Stegostoma tigrinum: one gene and its partners. The protein of the gene in region 2 purifies or fractionates together with the protein of the main gene of each other region. This does not show direct contact. Links are inferred from orthologs where the notes say so. Each region holds a gene or a part of one and is shown on either strand. Other genes may lie near its edges. The genes, in order: protein PALS1-like, amotl2a, lats2 and nf2b.

The links.
Region 1: the proteins of amotl2a (region 2) and protein PALS1-like purify together in Homo sapiens (affinity purification with mass spectrometry; 3 studies listed by BioGRID and IntAct, counting the BioPlex papers as one, with this or other methods). This does not show direct contact. The link is inferred for Stegostoma tigrinum from reciprocal best matches to the Homo sapiens genes AMOTL2 and PALS1.
Region 3: the proteins of amotl2a (region 2) and lats2 purify together in Homo sapiens (affinity purification with western blotting; 3 studies listed by BioGRID). This does not show direct contact. The link is inferred for Stegostoma tigrinum from reciprocal best matches to the Homo sapiens genes AMOTL2 and LATS2.
Region 4: the proteins of amotl2a (region 2) and nf2b purify together in Homo sapiens (affinity purification with mass spectrometry; 5 studies listed by BioGRID and IntAct, with this or other methods). This does not show direct contact. The link is inferred for Stegostoma tigrinum from reciprocal best matches to the Homo sapiens genes AMOTL2 and NF2.

The regions. Positions count from the first base shown.
Region 1 is NC_081363.1:69,480,057-69,487,065, reverse strand, and holds the start of protein PALS1-like, read left to right. Parts: upstream 1-4,003; 5' UTR 4,004-4,279; exon of another isoform or gene 4,280-4,403; intron 4,404-7,009. UniProt on the Homo sapiens protein: Plays a role in tight junction biogenesis and in the establishment of cell polarity in epithelial cells.
Region 2 is NC_081367.1:1,412,971-1,419,826, reverse strand, and holds the start of amotl2a (angiomotin-like 2a), read left to right. Parts: upstream 1-3,837; 5' UTR 3,838-4,099; intron 4,100-4,234; exon of another isoform or gene 4,235-4,591; intron 4,592-6,026; exon of another isoform or gene 6,027-6,132; intron 6,133-6,856. UniProt on the Homo sapiens protein: Regulates the translocation of phosphorylated SRC to peripheral cell-matrix adhesion sites. Required for proper architecture of actin filaments.
Region 3 is NC_081359.1:73,335,297-73,342,470, forward strand, and holds the start of lats2 (serine/threonine-protein kinase LATS2), read right to left. Parts: upstream 3,008-7,174; 5' UTR 2,863-3,007; coding exon of another isoform or gene 2,854-2,862; intron 1-2,853. UniProt on the Homo sapiens protein: Negative regulator of YAP1 in the Hippo signaling pathway that plays a pivotal role in organ size control and tumor suppression by restricting proliferation and promoting apoptosis.
Region 4 is NC_081380.1:17,857,129-17,864,940, reverse strand, and holds the start of nf2b (NF2, moesin-ezrin-radixin like (MERLIN) tumor suppressor b), read right to left. Parts: upstream 3,004-7,812; 5' UTR 2,805-3,003; intron 1-2,804. UniProt on the Homo sapiens protein: Probable regulator of the Hippo/SWH (Sav/Wts/Hpo) signaling pathway, a signaling pathway that plays a pivotal role in tumor suppression by restricting proliferation and promoting apoptosis.

The DNA of each region.
Region 1 (7,009 bases), on a different chromosome or scaffold from region 2:
TCTAACTGAGTGATAAGGGAATTTCCATTGATGCTATTTTGTTTCAGTTCATGCAGGAATTCAAACTGTTGTAACACCATGCATTTTTTCATACATTAGTGGCCTCAAGTTACAAATTGGGATTGTAGAAGCTCCAATATCCTGTTCCACACATGGCTGACCCGGAATTTCTCCCTGATACTCACATTGTTTGGCCACATTGTGAACATGACTCCATTGACCACCTAGTCCTGAATGAGGGATAAACCCAGTGCTTCCAGCTCTGAGGCAGGATAACTAATCACTGCATCATTGACACCTCCCCACATGTTGCTATGGAATAAGAAGAATCAAATAATGCATCTTGTAAGATGTATTAAATACAACTATTTATATTCATTTTAAAGCAAGGAGAATTAAATGTTAGAACATAGAACATAACAGCACAGTACAGGCCCTTTGGCCCTCGATGTTGTGCCAACCTGTCATACCGATCTCAAACCCATCTAACCTACACTATTCCATGTACGTCCATATGCTTGTCCAAATGTTGTCAAATGTTTTCAGAACAATGAATGATGTTTAAATGGGCAAGGTGCTATTTCACAGTTTTATATCTGGAATAATCCTAGATTCAAGTTAGACTAGCTTCAGAACAAAATACTCTCCACACAAAGGCTTTGTATATTCCCAACACAAATGGAAGTTGCTGGAAAAACTCAGCAAGCCTGGCAGCATCTGTGAAGAGAAAATCAGAGTTAATGTTTTGGATCCAATCACCCTTCCTCAGAAGGTTCACCAGATTTGAAACATTAACTCTGATTTTCTCTTCACAGATGTTGCCAGACCTGCTGAGCTCTTCCAGCAACTTGTCCCTGATTTACAGCATCTGCAGTTCTTTTGGTTTTTATTTTGAATATTCCCAAATATTTATTAGGTTTGAAATAATAATAAATTAATTCTGTTTGAATTGATTTATTTCATTTTGAGTATCAATGAAGATCTGACCCATATTTTGGAAGCAGAAACTTTAGTAGTGAAAGAAAACTTCAGAGATGCCCAAAGTTTCAGATGAGGCAAACCAAATCCTCCAAAAACACTCAATTTTATATAAAAACAGAATAGTTATATTCTGTTATTATAGGCATGCTGGATAAAATAAACATTGTCTTCTTGTTTACAACAACAGGACTTTTATAAAAGCAAAAATACTGTAGTGCTGGAAAACAGATAAAAACAGAAAGTGCTGGAGAAACTTAGTGGGTCTGGCAGGATCTGTAGAGAGAGAAAGAGAGTTCATATTTTGAGTTCAGTTTGACTCTTCTTTAGACTTTTATTTGGTATTTGTGTTTCCCAGGTATTTTCCTGTGTGACTGTTTTTGGCATCCTGCTAAACTCAGTGAGAATTTGAGGTGAGGTGCATGAGAGCTGATGTGGGATGGGTGTGTCGGGATGGGGTTAAGGCATCACAACATATGCATCTAATTTAAAATTGCTTTTTAAAAGCCTCACATTTAATTCAGTGGTATTCCATGGGCTCTATTTTACTTCCTTAATTCATAATTTAGTGAGGAAATGGAGGATGGTTAGATGAAAATTAAACGTGTGATAACTTGAGCACAAGTATCGTAGGCTGGTGGTAATATAGTGTTTTTAATATAGCACGTTTACTCAATACATATTTTGAATATTAACATTATAATAGTTATAATAGCCTACGTTAAGAACAACTATCGATTTTAAATCTTTGCAATTTACAATTGTCTTACTTGATAAACATGCTAAATTTTGTCTGTGTCCTTGGTTGGTAAAAATTCGATTCGGAGAAGGGCAGATTTCCATAATCCGGGTAAAATGCGAATTATCTTTAGAAGTGGACTCTTTCTGAAGGGTCTAGGTCCGAAACGTCAACCTTCCTGCTCCTCTGATGCTGCTTGGCCAGCTGTGTTCATCCAGCTCTACACCTCGTTATCTTTTCACAAAACCAGTTGGGCAGGGAATTGTGGCGCTACGGCCCCTATCTCTGGGCCAGAATATGCCGCTTCGAGGGCCACCTGCTCCAGAACAGGTTGATTAAAGATATCTGTCAAACTGTTTATCGGGGAGCAGAAAACACGTAACTGCAAAGGAAGGGAGACTGCGCGGTGGAAAAGACAGTTGGACTCGCTTAAATTATTTTTTTTCTTATTCTTATGAATGGCGCTCTCAAGGTACCCACTTTTCACTGTAGTTTTACACCGAATACACGTGACAATAAATGATTCAATGATTCAAGACAAAACTTGTTACCCATCGTTCGAGACTGTGTGACAGACCTTGCACAAATCTTCGTCGCTAGTCTTAAATACAGTCCATCAAACCGGTGATAGCAGAGAACAGTTAAAGAAAGTAGGGTTATACCTTCAACTACACACACGGAAAATTGGATATTAGAATTTGGTCTTAATGCTTGTTATGCCCCCGAGATGCGTATAATTTTCACGTATCTTTGAAGATATCACGCTTACATGCATCTTCACAGGAACGGATTCTGTGTCCATGAAAAACGACAGGATAGTAACAACTTTTCACTCGCCAAGCGTGCGATCCACAATGTTTTTTTTTCTAAATCTCCAAAATCAGGGAGCTATTTAACAACCTAAGTCAACTTCGTCTATAAAATTTCACACGCCGATTCATAAACTCGCCAATAGCCTGTGCATTCTACAGCATTTTGGACTCGCTTTCATTTTTTAAAAGTTCGTCAAGGCCTACAATTAGCAGCGTCATTAGCTTATCGGAAGATGTAGCCAAACACTCAGAACCAGGGCGGGGGAAGTGGATTGTGACAAGTAATGTGGTTGGTAGGCACCAAACTGAAAACAGATGGGCGTGTATCACAACATTGCGCGATAGCGGGAGGGCAGCAAATCATTTACCCAAATCAGCTCATTGCACTAATTGCAGCAGAGTCTGGAAACTTGGCTGTATTTGAGGCAGATATTGATTCTGAGAATATTTTGTTGATACGAAACCTCCACCTCAGTTGTTTGCAATAATATTTGCCTTTGGTATTCAAGACACGGTGAAGTTATTTGTGGGAATGTTGGAATTAGTTTGTTCTCCCTGACGTCAACGCAAAATGTTGCGGATGCTGGAAATCTGAAATAAAAACAGAAAGTGTTCGAGTTCCCGAAGTAAACGGGACTCGAAACATTCACGTCCCTACAGCCAGATCCGAGTTTCTTCAGCATTTCATATCCTGAGTTTAGCCTTTCTGAGATAACAAGGTGTGGAGCTGCATGAATACAGCAGGCCAAGCAGCATGTTTAGCCTTTCTGATATGACTATCGACCAAGAGCAGCCCAAGCACTCTTGTCTTTCGCAGACGTCCCGCTGAAGTTGACCGTGTTCGGTATTAAGGTCGGGCATGGCATTTTTGTTCAGGCCTCAAACTGAGGCAACCTGTGATCTTTCCAGGGATACTTGGAATTGAGAATTGACACTAGTTTCTGTTTTTTTTCTTGCACCATGTAGCGATTCACCAGTGGAGGGGGATGGGGTGGAAATAAAGGAGTCGCCCGGCAAGACCGCGAAATAGTTTCAGAAAAGTGTTGAGAAGGCTGGCTCCAGTCCCAGGAAGGGATAAGCGGAGGTGCTGGGGTAGATCTGCTTTGCTTCAAGTCTGCAAGAAGACTGCGACAGTCAGGTGTTGTGATTTCCAAAGCTCCCTGAACTAACCCGATCCGATCGAGCCCCTCCTCCTCCTTTCTCCCCTCCGCCGCTGGGATCGCATTGCAAAATAAAACATTCCTGGCGCAGCTCGGGCTTTCACCTTTGTCTCCAGTGAGTGCGCGCGCGCGGCCGGGCTTAAGTTGGAGCAGGCATGCGCGCGCGCGGCCGGGCCTAAGTTGGAGCAGGCATGCGCGCGCATCCATTTCTCCCACACCCACCTCCACTTTCCCTTCACCCGAAACTCAACGAGCTTGTACCTCCCTCTTCCGAAGGGGGCGAGGTTGAGGAGCCCTCGCGAGCGACTGCGCGCACACGCACGGGTCGCGTCCTCAGCCAGGCACAGAGTCCGTTTATTTTTACTCCTCCCTACCCCCGCCCTCCCCCAAGAAAGAACGCACCGCTCGCGGCCGGAGGCAGTTGGAATCCTCCATTCGAGGTGAGGAGGTGTCGAACAAAACAAATCCAACAACCACCCCCGGCAAACACACAGAGTAAGGGGGCTCCGATCGTGAAGCTCCTTCGCTCACAGCCGAGTGTCTGATCTCAGACACCGGCATCAAGCCCGGCTCTCTTTCTCCGTCAACAGGTTAGTGGGTATCAACCGCCAGAAGGAGCTTTCGGCCGTTTTATTCACCCCCCGCCAAGGCGCAAGTTTGTATCGAGAGGAGCCTTTCACTTGGCTTGGGAGTCCGGCCTAGTTTGGGAAAGAGGTGAGAATCGGGTTGGCAAAGGAGAAGAAAAGGCAGGCGGCACGGGGTGGTGGAGGGAGGAAGAGTCGGGCTGGAAAAAAAGTTACTAGGAAATGTTTTTAGCATAAGGTCGAGTCCACGTAGCCTTCTCCCTCTGGTGCCGAAGGAACTCGTCTCAGAGGAAAGAAAAGGCAGGCTATTTTAGCTCTGTATTACTGGGTTTTGGGTGTGTTGGATTCTCCTTTATTTGTCACCGCCCGAGCCTTCGCATCTAATTTACATCCTCCCCGGCAAAGAAGGGAAACTAATTCCCATCTCTGGCCTCTAACCTTCTCAGTTAGGTCCAGCCGTCATGAAATTTTAACCAAGTCTTGTTTTCTAAACAAGTGTAGACAAAAACGAAGTTTGGCATTGTTGCGCGGTGGGATTGTTGGAATATCCTGGGTAGTTGCAGTTGTGGTGGAGATGGGCAGAGTGGTGCTTCTGGATGTTGTGCTGGTTCACAAGGTTAGACTGAAAATAATTCACAGCAGCGTCAATGCTGCATGATTTCGCCAGAATTAAAATGCAGTAATTCCACAAGAGATGTCCTTCCAGTTTAGAAACTCCAATTCAGCTTTCGGCAATTGGGTGCCCGGGGCGGGTGCTTTCGGTGTGAAGGTGGGTTGGGTGCGGAATAGAAACTTTGCTGGACGAGGGAAAAGAAGGGCAATTTAAAGTTAGTTGGATAGCTATAGTTTTAAACATTAAAATGAAACTCGGAAAGGACACCTCATGGACTAATTTACGATTCAAAATACCACTGATAACAAAGCCAAATGTGAAAAGCGTAACGATAAACTTAGAAACTAACAGGGACAAGGAGAAAATAAGCGTAAGTCAACGGTCTTTTATGACTATCATAAACAATGACAGGACGATCAAAGGCAGGATTTGGCGATTGAGGACCAGAAAGATCGACTTGAACTGGCAGAGAGCACGACTAAGGCAATTTACAAGTATTTGCATCTGTTTGTTAAAAATAAGAGACTGTGGTTTTAGAATCAAAATATATAAAAAGACGTATTTAAAAGCAAGCAGTTCTCGAAAAAAGAACAGCTACATCGTCCAGATGGGATGCCTGCCATATTATTGACCGAGGTACAGGTGGAAATTACAAACGCTGTAGTCGTAATCTCTCAATTTTGTATGCTGTGGGGCACTACCAAAGGATTTAACATGTTTAAAGTGGGATAAAGCAGCAATTATGGGCTAATTAGGTTAGCATCAAAAGAAGCTTTTAGCACCAATAATCTGGACAAAATTAAGTGATGTTTGGATCAATATTGAGTAATCATTTGAAGTCTGGATTTGTTAAAGCAGGTTATGTTTGACTTATTTGTCAAGTTCTTCACAGTAAAAGACTATTGTGATGATGAACATGATTGTGTGTGTTTTCAGAAATTCCTTGTTACTGAATTGATAGACCACGGGGTTTGGGGAAATCTGGCAACATGGATATAAAGTTTAAGTGAAGAAAGTAAACAGTAGTGGTTAATGGAGTAGTAACAAAGTTGGAAATACTCAGTGGATCCTGCAGCATCTTTATAAAGAGAAACTGTTAATGTTTCAGGTCAATGACTTTTCCTCATTAAAGATGAATGCTGTTTCAGGCTGGAGGGATGTACGCATTAGGATCACTGATCTTTTTGCTATTGATTAGCCTAGATTTGGTACAGCAGATATAATTTTAAAGTTTGTGTTGTACAGAGCTTGGAAATGTAGTAATTAATGAGGCGAGAAACAAGACTTCAAGGTGACTGAAGTGCACTAGCAAATGATTGATGACCTATAAATTAAGAGAAGTTTGAAATGATATGTTTTACAATCAATGATGACAGGCCAGATGAACTAAAATGTGCACATGTTAAAATTGGTATAGGAATGTATACAAATTGCTACAGGTCGTAGGATGAGATGCCAAGGCTTTATTTGATGGTGAGTTGTTGTGATCCAGAATGTTTTCTGAAGTGATAATAGAAACAGAATCGTAAATTTGAAAGTGAATTGAATAAACACTCAAAGGAAAATAATTACAAGACTGTGGGGTGTGACATTAACTGGACAGTTCTACCAAAGAGCCAGGCACTGACCTGATTCAGTCATTCTATAACTTATGGTCTGACAATGGATTTTGAGATTGAATGAAACTGGTACTTTTTTTCCCCCCTAAGTATATAACTTAGAGTTTGAATAAGAGAGATGCATCTTAGAATGAAATTTATTTTGAAACTCCTAAGTTTCTTCAAAGTTTAAGATGTAAGTTTATTTTTACTTTTCCATGTGATCTATTTTGTGCTATTTGTACTGACAATGCAGTTTTGTGTCTGCAGTTACAATACTACTGCTAGGAATTAGCTGTGTGAGTTGAGACAATGGTGATGAGCTGGCTTTGCAAAACAGAAGTTCATTATGGAATTTAAGGTGAAGTTGAACAGCAGCACTTAATTGGAGTTGTTGGATTCTTGGAACCATGTGCTATGGCTCATTCAGCTATTTGAATTACTATTTATTTCACTGTAACTATTGTAATAATACTGTGTTAGGTATGTGCTGATCCAGCACGTGAACTTAAGATCAAGTTTTCA
Region 2 (6,856 bases):
TTGAGAGAGCCTGAATTGGCTGGAGCTTTATTCCCTGGTGTGTCAGAGACTGAGGGCTGCCCTTCTAAAGGTTTGTAAAAACATGTGGGGCATGGATAGGCTGATTAGCCAAGGTCTTTTCCCCAGGCTAGGTAAGTCCAAAACTAGACGGCATAGGTTTAGCAAGAGAGGAGAAAGATTTAGAAAGAACCTGAGGGGCAACTTTTTCATGCAGATGGTGGTGTGTATTTGGAATGAGCTGCCAGAGGAAGTGGTGAAGGCTGGTACAATTACAACATTTAAAAGGCATCTGGATGGATTCATGAATAGGAAGGGTTTAGAGGGATATGGGCCAAATGCTAGCAAATGGGACTAGATTGATTTAGGATATCTTGATGGCAGGGGTGAGTTGGACCAATAGGTCTATTTCTATGCTGTACATCTTTATGACTGTGTGGCTATGATTATGGCACAACTGCTAGATCTCATTCTTCTGTCTTCCATTTTCAAGTTCTATGTTTCTAACTTTCATTCTTGTATCCCTGATCAAGTTCCCAGCCTTTCTCATTCTCATCCATGACAATGATAGCAAATTCTGTTACAATGACATTGTTTGTGTTCCTGCTGATATGCAACCTGTCCAGCTTGTACAGTTCCCGAGATACCAATTCCAATGCCTCAGGATCTAAATCTCTCCCTCCTACACCACTTTCTTCATGCCAAGTCATTCATTCAAATATTCTATTCTCCTATTTCCAATCCTGCTCATATGTGGTACTGGGAGTAATCCCAAGATTGCTATATTTGTGTTCCGACTGTTTGAATGTATTTCCCAGCTCCCTGTATTCTGCTTGAAGGATCATATTTCTCTTTTTGCCTATGGTCTTGGTTACTGATATTGACTATAGTGTTCTCCCACACTCTTCAGAATACCTTTGATCCTGGCACCAGGGAGACAACACACCATGCTGGAGTCACATCTGCTTCCACAAAACCATTTATCTAATACCCCCATGATTATCATTCACCTTCAGATCTGACTGAACCATATACAACATCATTTCACCTTGCTTCATCACTAAAAATGCTGACATATCCAGGAAGACACAAGAAATGGAAAGCTCCTTGTCTTCACCACTGAATATCTTGGTAAACATTGCTGTCCTGTTCCTTCCACCCTCACCTCCAACATGAAGCACTCATGACTTTCTATTACAAAGACTGAAGAGATCCATTTGGCAGCCTCTACTAATTCAGTCATCTCTTCTGTACTAGGCAAAGCATCCCCTAAGGTTTCTTTCCATCCTAGCTCTGAGCTCGCAACTTTCTGTAGTTTCTCTGCCACTTTGGAGAAAGGCATCAAACCACTCCATCATCAGTTGAACAAAGAGACAGTAAGAGTAATCAAAACTGTAGAGTCACTGATGTTTAAAAATCCATACAAAAACTGTGAATGGCACAATGGCTCAGTGCCAGGGAGCCAGGATTCCATCCGCAGACAACAGTCTGTGTGGACTTTGCACATTCACCCCATGTCTGTGTGGGTTTCATCCGGGCACTCCAATTTCCTCCCACAGTCCAAAGATGTGCAGGTGGATTGGCCATTGGAAATGGCCCACAGGATAGGGATAAGTGAATGGGTGGCATGCTCTTCAGAGGATGTTTGTGGACTTGATGGGAAGAATGTCCTGCTTCCACACTGTAGAGATTCTATAAGGAGCAAGCTGCCTCAGGGATGGTGTATGTGTAGACATCCGATGTCTGAGGTACTCTGGACTGGTATCTCAATGGCAGGCAAGGCAGTCTATAAAACCTGTCTCTATGGACAGACATTTTTTGAACTTTCTTTGAGCTCTTGCCAAGCAGCCAAAACACCCCACTCTCCAATACAGTAATCCAATGACATGAACTGTGCTCCTGCCAACAACTAATCTGCACTAGCTGTATTTTGGTACTCTGTGGTATCACTGAGAACCTGTACTAATATTTATTCCTCTTTAACTAGCCTGTACATCTTCAACTCAGGCACTGTTACTCTTTGACAATCCAATCCCTGGAGTCAAGGCAACTCATTTCTAATTTTATGATTATATGTTTTAATTGCTTGATTCATAACATTTTGATTTTGGATCTGGGCAAAGAGAATTTCTTGGTCCTTTTAGTAGTGACTTAAACAACCTGGAATCAGGGTGATTCCTGCCAGTTGGTGTTCAGGTCTGGTGAAAGAAGTGGGAATTGAAATTTTACTGAAGAGATGGGATAAAGAGGGGATTTCAGAATGACAAAACTCTAACTAGTGTGCCACAGGGATCAGAGCTGGACCCACAAATATTTACAATGTGAATTGATGACTTGGTTGAGGGAAGTAAATATATTATAGACACATTTGCAGATGACACAAAATAGTTGGGAAAGGAAGTGGTGAGGATGATGCAAAGAGTTTGCGAAGGGATACATACAGGTTAAGTGTGGGCAAAATCTTGTCAGAGGGAATATAATGTGGGGAAATGTGAGGTTATGCACTTTGGCAGGAAGTATAGGCGAGCTGAATATTGTTTAAATGGAGAAAGATTGCAGAAAGCTACAGAACAGAGGAAGTCTTCAGCTATGAATCACAAAAGGTTAGCATCCAAATTCAGCTAGTGATAGGAAAGGCAAATGGAATGTTGGCCATTATTTCAAAGCAAGGTATTTAAAAAGGGGAGTCAGACCACAGCTGGAATACTGTGAGCAGTTTGGTCCTCTTCTCTAAGGCAGGATACAGAGGCATACCCTCCAGTCCAGAGAAGGCTCCCTCCTCGTTGTTGAGGGACTGTCATTTGAGGAGAGGCTGAATAAGTTGGGCCTGGATTCATTCGAATTTAGAAACATGAGAGGTGAAATTATTGAAACATATAAGATTTCTAAGAGACTTGCTGGGGGAAGCATGGAGAGATTGTTCCCCCTCGTAGGAGAGTCTACCACTAGAGGGGATCATCTATGAAGAAGGGGGTCTCCCTTTTAAGGCAGAGATAAGGATTTCTTTTCTCTGGGAGGTTGATGAATGGTGGAATTCTTTGCCACAGAGGCAGTGGAGGCCAGATCATCAAGGCTGAGATAGACAGCTGTTTAATTAGCAAGGGAATGGAGGGTTATGGGGCAAAGGTGGGAAAGTGTGCTAAGGATTTATCAGATCAGCCATGACCTTATGGAAAAGTGGAGCAGACTTGACTGGCCGTTTTACATCCGCTCCTGAAGTTTAGTGAGACCATTCGACCTCCAATATGTTTGCCCATTGCCTGCTGGGTGATGGAACTGTGTCCCACATCCCCATTTATCCTTTGTTGTCTCTCTCCCCAGTGCAAATCTCCATACTGGTGATATTGGAGCTCCGCTTTGAAATGTGAGTATCGGACCAGTAAGTGCCACTCGCCAGCTCTTCTTTGTCGTATTTATTATCTTCTGCGGTATGCTGTTAAATAAGAACCAAAAGAATTGCGGAAGCTGTAAATCGGAAACAAAAACGTTGCTGGAAACGCTCAGCAGGTCTGGCAGCATCTGTGGAGGAGAAAAAAAGAGTTAACGTTTCGGGTCCGGTGACCCTTCCACACGGCAATGTGTTCTGAGCTTTTCCAGCAACTTTGTTTTTGTTCCATGCTTTTAAATAAACTCAACTTCAATTCATCTACTTTGAGGGCTTAAAGATTGCATAGCCCCCGGGATTGGGAAGGAGAAGAGTCCCAGATATCCATCGCTCCGGTGTCAATGCAAGCTGCTGTTTGAGTTTCTCCAGCATCGCCCCCCACCCCCCAGTTTAGATGGTATTTTCCGCAGTGTTATCACTCTGTGCTGTGCCGTGAGATTGAACTGTTTGCTCATTGTGTGTGCCCTCTGCAGGTTGAGTCTTGGTGTGCGGTAGGAGCTGCCTTTGATAGAGCCAGGAACGCGCATTCCTGACATTCCTGCCGCTGCTGCATCGCCCCGGCTGCAGCTGGGATCTTGCCATTCCATAGCGAGCAAGCAAACAGGCGGCTAGGGCTGTCCGGTTCCCAGTTCCCACACCACGGTCACTTCCAGCACCGAAATCTGAGCTTGAGGCAGAGCTAGGACTCTGTCCCTGATGTGAAAAACCCCACTCCAGGTCAGTCTCCCATTTCTCATTCTATTATAGTGTCTGTTCAGCCTTTTGGGGACAAGCTCGAACGGATTTCACACTCGAGCCTGCCGAATAGTCTGGAGAAGGTGCGACCTGTTCCGAGTGCTTCCCCCGGGTTCATCTGCTCACGGGAGAGTTATTTGCTCGCCTTACGGGTGTGAGCAGCCGCATTTTCACAGGTCTCAGCCGGAAACTGTCCGCCTCCCCGAGCCGTTTCTCCCAGTGCCGGCGTGAGCTGATCTCCGTCACACAGCCTACTGGCTGCTGAGCTCACTCAACAGGAATGTGCCAGCCAAAAGGAGCCAGTGAAGGAAATATACGCCGACTTAGTCACGATTAGACTGAAATATTCTTCCCGTGTTGCTAAAGATTTCAGATTCAAATTTTCACCCAGTGTTGGTAAAGATTTCGAATTGTAATTTTCACCCAGAGTTGGTAAAGATTTCGGATCGTAATTTTCACCCAGTGTTGGTAAAGGTAATGAGTTATAATGTTCACGCTATAGTGAAGATAAGGATTGTAATATTCACCCCAAGGTGGTAAAGATTTTAGAATGCAATATTGTATTGTAATATTTACTTTTGTATGAAAGATTATAGATTATAAAATCTCTCTGTATTAGTAATTATATTATAGTGCAAAAAATAAAGTGTACCTTTATGTTATTACCGTTTATAAGAGAACAAAAAAACTTAGTTTACTGTAAACTTTACAGATGGGAGAGAACTTTATCAAATAATAATTAAGTTCGTAAACAATTAGGCTCTTTGACATGCTGCAATCTCTGATGCAATTGTTACGCTGAAATTCTTCAATAATCCTTACAGATGTTAATGGCAAGAAAATCTTTTTATGTTTAACATTAGAGATTTTTGAAGAATATTGAAAATATATGGGATGATGGATTAGTGCTGGAGAGTGAAATGAGCAGACTTTTGAGTTGAGTGCAGTAGTGGATTGAAAGATGTTTTCACATTGTTGTGGAATGCATGTTTTGCCCCAGGATGTTGCAGGTTAGTGAATGAGCTATTGTTTTGGAAATTTGCAGGAATTCAGTTCCATTTGCAAGTCTGTTGTATTTTGTTAGTGGCCCCATTCAGGGAAAGCCATACATTAAAAAAAGTAGCCCAACTTTTCAAAATATACCTTTATTTGTGTATCAACTATTAATATCTGATGATCTGCTTTTTTCACCTTCTGCAAATGTATTTTGGGACCAGATCTGTTTCCTGCAAGTTTGAATGGTTAGAAATGGTAATAATTATTATTGGCATTTTAGCTGGAAAAAACACTTGCAATTTTGAGGCAGGGTTTATGAGAGTGGCCTGAAATTCTGTTGATCTGGAGTAAAATCAGAAACACATCTAAATTGGAGGAATAATGGGATCTCTTCACTCTTGATCACCCATCCATTCTCACAATGGACTAAGTGATTTTGTGCTTTCATTACTGCCAGCATTGCCTCAAATCGTTTCAAAAATCTTTGTGACTGTAGTCCAGTGGTCGTGCAGACCCTCCTTTACATGTTTTTTTAATAATCCATTCCAAATTCCTGTCAAACAAGATTTAAAATTTAAAATGAATTTCTCACCTATGTTGTGAGTTTTACAACATGTTGTCTGATATAGTTAAAGATTTAGGATCAGATAAAACACAGGCGGTTTTAAATGTAGGGGCTTTGAGAAGAAATCACTCACGATCTTTAAATTTCACAACTTATTGTGGAAGTTTCCCACAGGATATTCAGGCTAACAATTGCTCAACGTCTCAGCAGCCAATCCCCAACTCCATTTTCCACCCCCCCCCCGCCAGATTCTTGCAATAGTCATTTCATACTCACAATTTAATGTCTGACATTCCTCAAATTCATGCCATTATCTTGTGATGATAAAACAACTACCCTGAGCCTGGATAGCTGTTGTTGCAGCCTGACGTGCTGTCACCAGGGAAACAGTTCCCAGGGGCATGCATGTGGGCAGCATTTGGCTGGGGCAGGCTCTGGAACGCAATGTGACAGGGTTAGTGCTGCTAGATTGTATCCTGTGTCATTTTCTTGGAAATAACTTCAGTATTTTTGCTGAGGACGAGGGGGAGTAAGTGTTGGCAAGTTGTGCACATACTGTTCGAGCTTGAAAGAAACACTGTACGATATAGAGTCCTGTGCTTGCCTGTAAATCACTCATTGTGCCCATTTCACAAACTTACTGCACTGAGAATTCAATGGGCATGTGTAGTTTTGCAATGTTACAATTGATTTCAAGACTTAATTGGTATAAAAAATGTATTGAATTTGGTAGATTGAGGATGCAAGGGAGATTTATTAGAATAGTATCAAGGCAAAGAACACTTGTTATGTGGAGAGATTGAAGAAGCTGGGATTGTTAGTCAGAGAAGGTAAAGGGACTATTTGACAGGTTGTTAAAATGATAAAGGTTTTTGTTTTGGGGAGTTGAAGTGTTCCCATTGGCAACAAAGCTGGATAACTAGAGGACACAGGTTCATAGCGAGTGGTAAAAGAATCTTGGTGGAGAATATTTGAAAAAAGCAACTTTTTATTATCTGCCTGAAAGGGTAATGGAGTTAGCTTCAAGAACTTTCAAAAAATAATTTCCAAAAGGAAACGATTTTCAGGACTGTGTGAAAGCAAAGGGGCTGAAACTGAAACTCATCTGAAGAGTTGACACAAGCATAATGGGCTGAATGGCCTCCTGACCTTATGGGTTCTATGAAGTATGTAACAAT
Region 3 (7,174 bases), on a different chromosome or scaffold from region 2:
ATAGGTGGGGAGGGGATAGGTCAGTCCAGGCAAGACGGACAGGTGAAGGAGGTTGGATGAGGTACTAGGTAGGAAATGGAGGTGCGGCTTGAGGTGGGAGGAAGGGATGGGTGAGAGGAAGAACAGGTTAGGGAGGCAGAGACAGGCTGGACTGATTTTGGGATGCAGTTGGGGGAGGGGATGAGCTGGTCTGGTTGTGTGGTGCAGTGGGGGGAGGGGACAAACTGGGCTGGTTTTGGGATGTGGTGGGGGAAACGGGAGATTTTGAAGCTGGTGAAGTCCACATTGATACCATTGGGCTGCAGAGTTCCCAAGTGGAATATGAGTTGCTGTTCCTGCAACCTTTGGGTGGCATCCTGGTGGCACTGCAGGAGGCCCATGATGGACATGTCATCTGAAGAATGGGAGGGGGAATTAAAATGGTTCGTGACTGGGAGGTGCAGTTGTTTATTGCGAACCGAGCAGAGGTGTTCTGCAAAGCGGTCCCCAAGCCTCTGCTTGGTTTCCCCAATGTTGGGGCAGCCACACCGAGTACAATGGATACAGTATACCACATTGGCAGATGTGCAGGTGAACCTCTGCTTAATGTGGAAAGTCATCTTGGGGCCTGGGATGGGGGTGAGGGAGGAGGTGTGGGGCAAGTGTAGCAATTCCTGCAGTTGCAGGGGAAATGCCGGGTGTGGTGGGGTTGGAGGGGCAGAGTGGAGCGAACAAGGGAGTCACGGAGAGAGCGGTCTCTCCGGAAGGCAGACGAGGGTGGGGATGGAAAAATGTGTTGGGTGGTGGGGTCGGCTTGTAGATGGCGGAAGTGTCGGAGGATGATGCGTCGTATCCGGAGGTTGGTGGGGTGGTGTGTGAGAACGAGGGGGATCCTCTTAGGGCGGTTGTGGCAGGGACGGGGTGTGAGGGATGTATTGTGGGAAATGCGGGAGACGCAGTCAAGGGCGTTCTCGACCACTGCGGGGGGCAAGTTGCAGTCCTTGAAGAACTTGGACATCTGGGATGTGCGGGAGTGGAATGCCTCATCCTGCGAGCAGATGCGGCGGACGCGGAGGAACTGGGAATAGGGGATGGAATTTTTGCAGGAGGGTGGGTGGGAGGAGATGTATTCTAGGTAGCTGTGGGAGTTGGTGGGCTTGAAATGGACATCAGTTACTAGCTGGTTGCCTGAGATGGAGACTGAGAGGTCCAGGAAGTTGAGGGATGTGTTGAAGATGGCCCAGGTGAACTTGAGGTTGGGGTGGAAGGTGTTGGTGAAGTGGATGAACTGTTCGAGTTCCTCTGGGGAGCAAGAGGCGGCGCCGATACAGTCATCAATGTACCGGAGGAAGAGGTGGGGTTTGGGGCCTGTGTAGGTGCGGAAGAGAGACTGTTCCACGTAACCTACAAAGAGGCTCGCATAGCTGGGGCCCATGGCCACCCCCTTGGTCTGTAGGAAGTGGGAGGAATCGAAAGAGAAGTTGTTGAGGGTGAGGACTAGTTCGGCGAGGGGGACTGATCGGGCCTGCGTGACAGGAAGAAGCGGAGGGCCTTGAGGCCATCTGCATGAGGAATACAGGTGTATAGGGACTGGACTTCCATGGTGAAAGAGAGGTGTTGGGGGCCAGGGAATTGGAAGTCCTGGAGGAGGTGGAGGGCATGGGTGGTGTCACAGACGTAGGTAGGGAATTCCTGGACCGAAGGGGAGAAAATGGAGTCCAGATAGGTGGAGATGAGTTCGGTGAGGCAGCAACAGGCTGAGACAATGGGTCGACCAGGGCAGGCAGGTTTGTGGATTTTGGGAAGGAGATAGAAACGGGCCGTGCAGGTTTGGGGAACAATGAGGTTGGAGGCTGTGGGTGGGAGGGACTGCAACTTTCCCCCCGCAGTGCCACAAGGATGCCACCCAAAGTTTGCAGGAACAGCAACTCATATTCCACTTGGGAACCCTGCAGCCCAATGGTATCAATGTGGACTTCACCAGCTTCAAAACCTCCCCTTCCCCCACCGCATCCCAAAACCAGCCCAGTTTGTCTCCTCCCCCCGCTGCATCACACAACCAGCCCAGCTCATCCCCTCCCCCAACTGCATCCCAAAACCAGCCCAGCCTGTCTCTGCCTCCCTAATCTGTTCTTCCTCTCACCCATCCCTTCCTCCCATCTCAAGCCGCAACTCCATTTCCTACCTACTAACCCCATCCCACCTCCTTAACCTGTCCGTCTTCCCTGGACTGACCTATCCCCTCCCTACCTATATTCTCCTCTCCACCTATCTTCTTTTCTCTCCATCTTCGGTCCGCCTCCCCCTCTTTCCCCATTTATTCCAGAACCCTCTCCCCATCCCCCTCTCTGATGAAGTGTCTCGGCCCGAAACATCAGCTTTTGTGCTCCTAAAATGCTGCTTGGCCTGCTGTGTTCATCCAGCTCCACACTTTGTAATCTTGGATTTTCCAGCATCTGCAGTTCCTATTATCTCTGAAAATATATTTCAATCGGTCAGCATCGTGGACGTTAAAAACCCGTCTCACAAAATGACTAATACCAACAAATGTCACAGAAAAGGCATGCCATAAACACGGTCAGTCTTATAAATTATCAGCAAGCATCACACGGTAATGGGGTGAGAGGGGTCGAGGCCCAAAACGTCAGCTTTCCTGCTCCTCTGATGCTGCTTGGCCTGCTGTGTTCATTCAGCTCTACACCTTGTTATCATAATGATATTTAAGGAAATTAAGTCTCACAGAATCTAATTTTCTACAGTAACAGAAGTTGATGTAAAATCTGGGCCTTTAAATGTTATACATAAGCTAGACACAAGTTAAATACGATAATGCAATTCCAAAACTAAAATAGTCAATCTTATGCTTTTCCTTACTTTCGCCATTTAGTTGAGTTGGTTTTCCCAAGGGTTTAATTTTATTCTTTTGTGTTTGTCCGTTCGTTTGAGAGAAGCCTGTACGAGAGTTCTCAACTGTGATGGAAATCTATTTTCTCCTCACCCATCCCAACGCCACAGTATGTGGGCGGAGCTTCCGAACTTCCTGATTGACAGTTACGCGTCGCATTGTTTTCATTCCATCTCAGTCACGTGGCCGCGCGCGCCCGCGTGCGTCGCTGCGCTGGCATTCGACGAGGAGGCGGGGCGGAGGTTTGGTCGTGGAATTTGGTATCCGATTACTCAATACCGAGCTGAACTTTAGGCCTGTGGTGCCCTTGAACCCACATCTAAATGTCAACGAAATCTAACTAGAACTTGTGGTGTTCAACGTAATAGCATTCAAAAGCAAACTGAACACTATTTCTCGGAACAAAAAGAGTTTATTATGACTATTCGGCTAGTGCTGGTTCTTGCAAAGATGTATGTAATTTCACTTTCCTGCTCTTTTTAACATGCCGTGCGTTTCCCTGAAGTTTTAAAAGCATTTTTTGCAATTTCCTTTTGAAAGTCACCATTGAATCAAGTTCCACCAGCCTTTCCGTAGCTGGTTTGATGATCAAAGTCATACCATCCACACAGTGCGGAAAAGGCCGTTTGGCCCAATCGAGACTGCGCTGACCCTCCAAGCCCGCACCCTATCGCTGTAACCCCGCATTTACTGTGGTCAACGCATCCACCCAATCTGCACATTTTTGGGCTGTGCGAGGAAACCCATTGCAGACACAGTAGAAGTAGGATTTTTTTCAGAATAGAATTTTTCAGAAATTTCTGAAGAATTCACCCGAAACGTCAGCTTTCCCGCTCCCCTGATACTGCCCGACCTAAGCTAATTTTTCAAATTGCCCTGGATCCAATGGGTTCTTAACTTCTTAACTAATCTGGCAAACAATATGTAATAAAAATCCTTACTAAAGATACAGATGATACAAGGTGGTTGTAAACAGCATGATAACATCACTGCAGTGGTCAAATTGACAGGAAAATGGCAAATGGAATTCAGTCAAAAGCAGCGTGCATTTGAGCTGCCTAATCAAGATAAGAGAATACATAAGAGATTACAGTGGAAGATACTTTGAACATCCCACTAATACCAAAAAGCGTGGGAGAAGAACTAAGTACCATTGCTAGTGAAGTAGGATTAGACAAAGTAATGGGGCTAAAGGCAGATGTGTTCCCAGCCCTAATGGCTAGCAAAATAATATCCAAAAAGAAGTAGCTATCTCTAATTCTGATGAAGGGTCTAGGCCTGAAACGTCAGCTTTTGTGCTCCTGAGATGCTGCTGGGCCTGCTGTGTTCATCCAGCCTCACATTTTATTATCCTAGCTATCTAGATAGTTTCTCGTCCTCTGTTTCTGCCACTGTATTTCTCATCTTCTATGGTATCATCCTCTGTTTCTGCCACTCTGTTTCTGATCCTCTGCTTCTCACCCTCTGTTTCTGTCACTGTTTTTCATCCTCTGTTTCGCCTCATGTTTCTCATTCTCTGTTTCTGCTGCTGTGTTACTTACTCCTTGTTTCTGCCTCTGTTTCTCATCCTTTCGTTCTGCCATTGTGTTTTCATGCTTTCTCTCTCATCTTCTGTTTCTGCCACTCAGTTTCTCATGCTCTGTTTCTACCACTGTTTCTGATCTTCTGTTTCTCATCCTCTGTTTCTGCGATTGTGTTTCTCATACTTTGTTTCTCTGCATCCGTTTCATTCTCTTTTTTTCTCGTCATCTGTTTCCATCACCACTATTATCATGCTTTGTTTCTCATCTTCTATTTCTTGGCCTCTGTTTCTGCCACTCTGTTTCTCATCCACTGTGTCTCTTCATGAGTTTCTCATTTTATGTTTCTGCCACTCCGTTTCTCATCCTCTGTTTCTGATCCTCTGTTTGTTGACTCAAAAACTTCCAGACCCCGCAAGAGTTCCATTAACTTCTTTATTTTAGCTTAGCCAGCGAGAGCTCCGGAGTCAATACCAGAGTAACAGTCAAGCTCTCACTGGTGGACTCTCGTCAGACCTCTATGCATAGCATAAAAGTAGTACAATTTATAGCCCTCACGTGTGTGATTAACATACATATTTCACTATCCGACATGACTAAATGTTATCACATCCCATACTGTTCACATGCGTCATAAGCAGATAAGTAGTGCAGTTAACACTGTTACATTGAATAGAGGAAGCAGCCCCAGCCGTGGGAGAACAGCTGCAACCTTCAGGTTGTTACAAACACAGGCACACATTCCAAAATTTATGGTAAATCGTTATTTCAGCAAAACTTCTAATTATTGCTTCCCCAATACTTTATCATGTTTCTCATCCTCTGTCTCTGCCACTCTGTTTCTCACCAATGTTTATATTGCTGTTTATGCCACAGCGTTTCTCATCCTCTGTTTCTCATCTTCTATTTCTCGGCCTCTGTTTCTGTCACTCTGTTTCCCATCTTTTGTGTCTCATCGTCTGTTTTACCGCCTTTGTTTCTGCTGCTGTTTCTCATTCCCTAATTCTGCCACTCTGTTTCTCATACTCTGTTTCACCCCATCTGTTTCTCATCCTCTGTTTCTCCTCATGTGTTTCTTGTTTTCTGTTTTCCCACTCTCTGTTTCTGGCGCTCTGTTTCTCGTCCTCTGTTTTGCATTCTCTGTTTCTGCCAGTCTGTTTCTCATCCTTTGTTCCAGCCCATCTGTTTCTCATGATCTGTTTCTCATCCTCTGTTTCTCCTCGTGTTTCTTATTTTATGTTTTTCCACTCTGTTTCTCATCCTCTGTTTCTCATCCTCCGTTTCTGCCACTCTTATTGCCATCTTTTGTTTCTGCACGTCTATTTCTGTGTGTCTGTTTGTCATCCAGTGTTTCTCATCCTCTTTTTTCACCCTCTGTTTCTGCTCAAGTGTTTCTCATCCTCTGCTTCTCAAACAGTGTTTCTCGTCCTCTGTTTCCCAACCTTGTTTCTCATCCTCTGTGTCTGGCCCACTGTTTCTCTTCCTCTGTTTCGCATCCTTTGTTTCTGTCCCTCTGTTCCTGCCCCTGTGTTACTCATCTTCTGTTTTCACTCATGTGTTTGTATTCCGTTGTTTCCCATCCTCTGCTTCTGTTTCTCTTTCTCTGATTCTGCACCGGGATTTAATCATCTGTTTGTATCCCTCTGTCTCTCATCCTCTGCGACCCTCTCTTTCTGCCCCACTACTTATGCCCTTTCATTTCTGCCCCTCTGTTTTTCTTCCTCTGTTTCTCTTGCTCTGTTCCTCATCATTGTTTGCCAAACTCTGCTTCCCAACCTCTCATTCTCATCCTCTGTTTCTCTTCCTCTGTTTCTGTCCCCTCCTTCTGGCTGGCTACATTTGCCCACCTGTTTCTCCTCTTCTGTTTCTCAACCTCTGTTTCTCATGCACTGTTTCTGCCTCTCTGCATCTTGTCCTCTGCTTCTCATCCTCTGTTACTGTCCCTCTGTTTTTGCCCACCTGTTTTTTATCCACTGTTTCTCATCCTCTGATTCTCTTTCTCTGGTTCTCTTCCTCTGTTTCTCATGCTCTGTTTTTGCCCCTCTGTTTCTGCCCCTCTGTTTCTGCCTCTCTGCTTCTAATCCTCTGTTTCTCCTCCTTGGGTTTTAATCATCTGTTTCCCAAACTCTTTCTCATCCTCTGTTTCTGTCCCTCTGTTCCTAATCCCCTGTTTCTCATTCTCTAATTCTCATCCTCAGTTTATTTCTCACTGTTCCAACAGCTTTGTCTCTTCTCCTCTGATTCTCATTGTCTATTTCTCTCTCTCTTTCTGTCCCTCTTTTTCTCATTCTTTGTTTCTCATTCTCTGTTTCTGTGCTTCTGTTTCGGGCCTGTTGTTTCCATTCTCTGTTTCTCATCCTCAGTTTCTGCCTTTCTGTTTCACCCCATTTGTCTCTACTCCTGGTTCTCATTCTCTCTTTTTCACCCTCTGATTCTCACGTTCTGTTTCTCATCCTTTGATGAAAAGCCCTGCTTCGGCACCTCTCAATCTCATCGATTGTCTCTCATTCTCTCTTTCTGCCCCTCTATTTCTCATTCTCTTTTTCCCATTCTTTGCTTCTGACTTTTGTTTCTGTCCTTCTATTTCTGCTCTGTTGCTCTCATTCTGGGTTTCTCATTCTCAGTTTCTGCCCTTTTCAGTCCCTGTTTCTCTTCCTCTCTTTCTCATTCTCTGCGTCTCACCCTCTGATTCTCATTTCTTGTTTCTCATCCTCTGTTTCTGCCACTCAGTTTCTCTTGCTCTGTCTTCCCTCCTCTGTTTCTGCAAATT
Region 4 (7,812 bases), on a different chromosome or scaffold from region 2:
AATGTATAGAATTTCTATAAGCTCTGACAGGATACATGTAGATAAACGATTCTCTTGAATGGTGAGTCTAAAACCAGGGGTCATAATCTCAAGATAACAAAGTGTGGGGCTGAATGAACACAGCAGACCAAGCAGCATCTTAGGAGCACAAAAGCTGACAATTTGGGCCTAGACCCTTCATCAGAAAAGGGGTTTGGGAAGAGGACTCTGAAATAAATAGGGAAAGAGGGGGAGGCGGACTGAAGATGGATAGAGGAGAAGATAGGTGGAGAGGAGAGTATGGGTGGTAAGGAGGGGATAGGTCAGTCTGGGGAGAACAGACAGGTCAAGGGAGCAGGATGAGGTTAGGAAATGGAGGCACAGCTTGAGGTGGGAGGAGGGGATAAGTGAGAGGAAGAACAGGTTAGGCAGACGGGGATGAGCTGGGCTGGTTTTGGGATGCAGTGGGGGGAGGGGATATTTTGAAGCTGGTGAAATCCACATTGATACCATTGGGCTGCAGGGTTCCCAAGCGGAATATGAATTGCTGTTCCTGCAACCTATGGGTGGCATCATTATGGCACTGCAGGAGGCCTAGGATGGACATGGAACCCTGCAGCCCAACGGTATCAATGTGGATTTCACCAGCTTCAAAATCTCCCCTCCCCCACTGCATCCCAAACCCAGCCCAGCTCATCCCCGCCTGCCTAACCTGTTCTTCCTCTCACCTATCCCCTCCTCCCACCTCAAGCTGCACCTCCATTTCCTACCTACTAACCTCATCCCACCCCCTTAACCAGTCCATTCTCCCCAGACTGACCTATCCCCTCCTTACCTCCCCACCACCTATCTTCTCCTCTATCCATCTTAAGTCCGCCTCCCCCTCTCTCCCTATTTATTTCAGAATCCTTGCCTCATCCCCCTTTTCTGATGAAGGATCTAGGCCTGAAATGTCAGCTTTTGTGCTCCTGAGATGCTGCTTGGCCTGCTGTGTTTATCCAGCTCCACACTTTATTATCCTGGATTCTCCAGCATCTGCAGTTCCCATTATCTCTGGTCATAATCTCAAGAGGTTGGCCATTTAAGATTAAGAGTTGTAAAAATTTCTTAACATAGAGGGTAGTGATTCTTTGCAATTCTCTAGCCCAGAGTGTTGTGGATGTTTAATCATTAGAACGTTCGTGACAGAAAAATCAATAGGTTTCTGGATTCTAAAGACATCAAGGGACATGAATACTGAGGTCATGATCTAATTGAACAATGGAGCAGGTTTTTGATTGACTGAATGGTGTGCTCCTCATCTTTGCTTAACTGGCAGACAGGTTTTAAAGAATTTCTGGATGGATAAATTAATAACCTATATAGTACTTTAAATAAAACTTATGTCGGCACTTCACAGGTGCATTCTATACTGTAAAGAAAACTCTGACACTAAATCTCAAATGGCAATATTCAACATGTCAAAATATGATCAAAGAAGTATATTTTTTTTGGATAAGGGAACCAAAACTGTATCTAGCAAGCCAGATAAGGTCTTAGCAAGCTTTTTAGGAATTATCTTAACAAAGAGACAGTGGGCAGAGAATGCAGAAGATGTTTTACATTGGAAGGCAGGAGAATACAGGGCTTCTAATGTTGAGAGAACTGGCAGCTAATCACACAGCATGAACATTAGAACAGTTAAAATCAGGACTGATTAAGGGGCCAGAATCAGGAGCGGGCAGTTATCTCAAAATTTTGTGGAGGCAAAACAAATCACAGAGATAGGGAGAGGCAAAACAGTTGGAGGTGTTAGGTTTAAAATCAAGCATGAGTTTTATCATCAAGGCATTAGGTCAATCTATATCAGTGATCACAGTGATCATTGGTGACCAGGACTTGATGCAAATAAGGAGATGGCCATCAGAATTTTGGATTACCTATAACATGGGAAGAACATGGAGAATGGGCAGCCGCGCATTAGATTAAATCAAATCTAAAGCAAAGGCATGAAATGGGATTTACAGATGAGCTGAGGCAGAATAAATGTTAAAAATAGTCAATCTTAGTGATGTTGTAGATATGCAATCAAAAGCTTCTCTCACGAACAAATATGATATGATGATTTAGAATTATCAGATCAACCATGATTTCACTGAATGAGGTTGGGAATTGATGGACCCAATGGCCTACTTCTGCTATTATAATTTACAGTGACAATTGCCTGGCTCATTCTGTTCGCCTGTATCCTCAACGTCTTTCCTCTGGCAGTTATGAAATGTTTGACACTTTTTCTTACAGACTTGTGAGTTCTTTCCCCCCACAACAGTGGCCTCTCAAAGCACATGTAGGTGTTTTGAGAGGCGCTTGCTACTTTAAACTGATTTGAGAATAAAATGGAAGAAAAAGGAAGATTTATTTCAATCTGTGCATCATTTATTGTGTGTGTGTTTGGTGCAGTGAGACTTAGGCTCCGCAGTAAGTTGTAAGAAACCATAAAAAGTGTGACAAGTTCAAAGGCAGTTCCAGATGGCTAAAATTACTAAGGTTATTTCTCAATTCGCATCACTGGCCATTCTGGTTATTGTTTATCTCGAGTGGAGAGATATCCACAAATACCGACCTCACAAAATACAAATATGATTCAGATTTCACAATCCAGCACATACTATATCAGGATCAAACAATTCTGAAGGCCTAAACAATAGTTACCCTGTTCTGTCCAACCATAATTGAAAATGTTACCGCAACATTCCCCAGTAAATTATCATCTCATTTGAATAAGTTCATTTTCTTTAGGCTTGGCTCCATTCAGGATTCAGCCAGTGCTCACTGCCGATACTCACCGACAAAGACCGAGCCCCGGGCCTGCAGTTACAGGCACTGCCGTGTGAAGCTGACGGTCAGCCCGGACTGTCCAACAGCGGCCACTCTCGGCCACCGGCACTGAACAATGTCACGGACTCAGCTCTACGAGCGACATCCAGAATCGGTTCATTCCGTCCGGCCCTGCGCCTGCCCAGCACCGCGGCTCCACGGAGCGACAGCGGCCAACTGCAATGGAGCGCACCCTCCCGGTGGGAGGACCGGCCAGCAGCCCAGGCGACACCTGAAAAATTTAGGATAACCCAGTGCGGAGCTGCAGGAACAGGAAAGCTGACTTTTTTCTGATGAAGCGATTAGGCCCGAAACGTCGGCTTTTGTGCTCCTAAGATGCTGTTTGGCCTGCTGTGTTCATCCAGCTCCACACTTTGTTATCTAGGTAAGCTGACGTTTCGGGTCGGGACCCGAAGGATGCTGCTCCCTGGCCTGCTGTGTTCCTCCAGCTCTACACCTTGTTATCTCAGACTCCAGCATCAGCAGTTCCAACTATCTCTATAAAAGAATTGGGGATGCTGGAAATCTCAAACAGAAACTGCAGGAGAAACTCAGCAAGTCGAGCAGCATCTTAGGAGAGAAAACAGAACTAACGTTTCCATGACGGGGTTACTCATTTGACTCTGCTTTCTCTCCACAGGTATTGCCAGACTTGTTGAGTTTCTCTAGGTCTTGGTTTCCACATCACCCCTTCTTCCTCATTCCTCCTACAACTCCCTTCCTTTAATCCCGTAGCAATACTGCCTTCCTCTTTTCTCCAGCAAGACAACTTCACTCCTTCTGTTTTTATTCACTTGTAGGATGCAGTAGTCACTTTTCACACCGTTGACGTGATTAATACCTTCTCGCTGAATATGTATGGAACGTATTTTCAGCCTTCGCTAAGATACCGCACAGATTCGCGATGTGTTTTCTGTGACAGTCCGGGGGAAGAACAAAAAGACGTCCCCCAGCGCTTTACCCGATAATATGTTTGAACTGAAAGACGATGTTCTAATGTAAAAACAAAAGCGAATTTACACACAGCAAACACCCAGAAACAGCAAAATGAATCGGTTCTGGTGAAGTCATTGGACTCGAAACGTTAACTTTCTTCTCACAGATGCGGCCAGACCTGCGTGTCTCCAGCAATTTGTTTTTGTTTTAGCTTTATTACAGCACTATGAATGGTTAGACAATCTGTTTTCTAATGTTGATAGAGAATGCAGTGAATGTCGGTCAGCACACTAAGGATAATTCCCCTGCCCTTAGAATAATGCTACTGGATTATTATCGTGCAACTTTAACATAAAACCTGCTGACTTTTTCCAGCAATTTCTGTTTTTGCAGCAGATTTAACATTTCATCAAAAAAGCACCTCCGACACTGTAGCATTTCACACAATCCAGAACCTTCTGACTCAAGCAAGAACGTTACCACTCAAAAGACAACCATAACCCGCACTTTTGAAAAGAAAGGTAAAATCAAGGGGACTGGGGTGGAATTGAATTTAGATCTACATGTACAATCTTCGTGTTCAGATCATAAGGCCGACTTGCGAACCCATTTTAGCTCCAAATGCCGAGATAACCCGCAACATAGAACATAGGCGAGGACATTGCGCGCATGTGCACACCTCAGGCAGAGGTACCGCGCATGCGCTGCTGCCAGCGGAAGTGTCCGTCTCTTCGAAATTCTCTATCCGGGAGGAGTGGACCCGATCAGGTATGTTCATGGCACATCAAGGTGCTTCTTCTACGTGATTAGGAGGTAGTAAACAACATCGATAAGAGGAAAACATTACACAAAAGTCTTACTTATTTCTTATATTTTGCTTTAAGACCCCAAGCTAATAATTATTGCCGTGCATTATTTGGTCAAATTCTCTTATTCTCTTCTCATGTTATCCGAGTGTAGCAATGTCCGAAGTTCTCAAAATCTTCTGAATTCTTTTATAGACGAAAATGAGAATTTCACTGAATAAGGAAGATGTAACCAATGTTGGTGGTGTTGAAAGGGATAAGCCTTATTATATAACATTATTATATAATGCATTTATTTCGAAGCCTTGCTTCCAAGTACTTCTGAAATCATGATAGAAAGAAATACTAATGTGTTTGAAGGAGAGATTAGTGTGGACCATATGTCCCGAAAATAGGCAGATCTTATCAACCCGAATCCTTCAGCTGGTTAATAAAATGTGAGGCTCGATGAACACAGCAGGCCCAGCAGCATCTCAGGAGCACAAAAGCTGACGTTTCAGGCCTAGACCCTTCATCAGAGAGGGGGATGGGGTGAGGGTTCTGGAATAAATAGGGAGAGAGGAGAAGGCGGACCGAAGATGGAGAGAAAAGAAGATAGGTGGAGAGGAGAGTATAGGTGGGAAGGGGATAGGTCAGTCCAGGGAAGACGGACAGGTCAAGGAGGAGGGATGAGGTTAGTTGGTAGGAGATGGAGGTGCGGCTTGGGGTGGGAGTAAGGGATGGGTGAGAGGAAGAACAGGTTAGGGAGGCAGAGACGGGTTGGACTGATTTTAGGATGCAGTGGGTGGAGGGGAAGAACTGGGCTGGTTGTGTGGTGCAGTGGGGGGCGGGGATGAACTGGGCTGGTTTTGGGATGCGGTGGGGGAAGGGGAGATTTTAAAGCTGGTGAAGTCCACATTGATACCATTGGGCTGCAGGGTTCCCAAGCGGAATATGAGTTGCTGTTCCTGCAACCTTTGGGTGGCATCATTGTGGCACTGCAGGAGGCCCATGATGGACATGTCCTCTAAAGAATGGGAGGGGGAGTGGAAATGGTTTGCGACTGGGAGGTGCAGTTGTTTATTGCGAACCGAGCGGAGGTGTTCTGCAAAGCGGTCCCCAAGCCTTTGCTTGGTTTCCCCAATGTAGAGGAAGCCACGCCGGGTACAGTGGATGCAGTATACCGCATTGGCAGATGTGCAGGTGAACCTCTGCTTAATGTGGAAAGTCATCTTGGGGCCTGGGATAGGGGTGAGGGGGGAGGTGTGGGGGCAAGTGTAGCATTTCCTGCGTTTGCAGGGGAAGGTGCCGGGTGTGATGGGGTTGGAGGGTAGTGTGGAGCGAACAAGGAAGTCACGGAGAGAGTGGTCTCTCCGGAAAGCAGACATGGGTGGGGATGGAAAAATGTCTTGGGTGGTGGGGTCGGATTGTAACACAGGTCCCAAACTCCACTTCTTCCTCCGTTACATTGATGACTGTATCGGCGCCGCCTCTTGCTCCCCAGAGGAGCTTGAACAGTTCATCCACTTCAACACCTTCCACCCCAACCTTCAGTTCACCTGGGCCATCTCCAGCACATCCCGCACCTTCCTGGATCTCTCAGTCTCCATCTCAGGCAACCAGCTTGTAACTGATGTCCATTTCAAGCCCACCTCCTCCCACCCACCCTCCTGCAAAAATTCCATCCCCTATTCCCAATTCCTCCGCCTCCGCCGCATCTGCTCCCACGATGAGGCATTCCACTCCCGCACATCCCAGATGTCCAAGTTCTTCAAGGACTGCAACTTTCCCCCCACAGTGGTCGAGAACGCCCTTGACCGCGTCTCCCGCATTTCCCGCAACACATTCCTCACACCCCGCCCCCGCCACAACTGCCCAAAGAGGATCCCCCTCGTTCTCACACACCACCCGACCAACCTCCGGATACAACGCATCATCCTCCGACACTTCCGCCATCTATAATCTGACCCCACCACCCAAGACATTTTTCCATCCCCACCCATGTCTGCTTTCCGGAGACACCACTCTCTCCATGACTCCCTTGTTCGCTCCACACTGCCCTCCAACCCCACCACACCCGGCACCTTCCCCTGCAACCGCAGGAAATGCTACACTTGCCCCCACACCTCCTCCCTCACCCCATCCCAGGCCCCAAGATGACTTTCCACATTAAGCAGAGGTTCACCTGCACATCTGCCAATGTGGTATACTGCATCCACTGTACCCGGCGTGGCTTCCTCTACGTTGGGGAAACCAAGCGGAGGCTTGGGGACCGCTTTGCAGAACACCTCCACTCGGTTCGCAATAAACAACTGCACCTCCCAGTCGCAAACCATTTCCACTCCCCCTCCCATTCTTTTGAGGACATGTCCATCATGGGCCTCCTGTAGTGCCACAATGATGCCACCCGAAGTTGCAGGAACAGCAACTCATATTCCGCTTGGGAACCCTGCAGCCCAATGGTATCAGTGTGGACTTCACCAGCTTCAAAATCTCCCCTTCCCCCACCGCATCCCAAAACCAGCCCAGTTCGTCCCCTCCCCCCACTGCACCACACAACCAGCCCAGCTCCACCCACTGCATCCCAAAACCAGTCCAACCCGTCTCTGCCTCCCTAACCTGTTCTTCCTCTCACCCATCCCTTCCTCCCACCCCAAGCCGCACCTCCATCTCCTACCTACTAACCTCATCCCACCTCCTTGACCTGTCTGTCTTCCCTGGACTGACCTATCCCCTCCCTACCTCCCCACCTATACTCTCCTCTCCACCTATCTTCTTTTCTCTCCATCTTCGGTCCGCCTTGCCCTCTCTCCCTATATATTCCAGAACCCTCACCCCCATCCCCCTCTCTGATGAAGGGTCTAGGCCCGAAACGTCAGCTTTTGTGCTCCTGAGACGCTGCTTGGCCTGCTGTGTTCATCCAGCCTCACATTTTATTATCTCGGATTCTCCAGCATCTGCAGTTCCCATTATCACTCCTTCAGCTGGTTCCAACATGCGAGAAACTGACCATACAATCAGCCTGTACTTGCAAAATTCAAAGATTGTCCAGCATAAAATATGAGATTGGATAAATTTCCTAACTAAGCCTAAGTTTGGTAAGAAATATGTTTACAACTAATTTAAGATTGTCATTTGGGGTCGCAACGTAGCACATGCATGTACAGGTAACTACATCTGGTCTCTATTTTTGGCAGACAGACATACATTATTTCAACTTTAGACATCAACTATTCTCTAGTTCATTCCTCCGAGT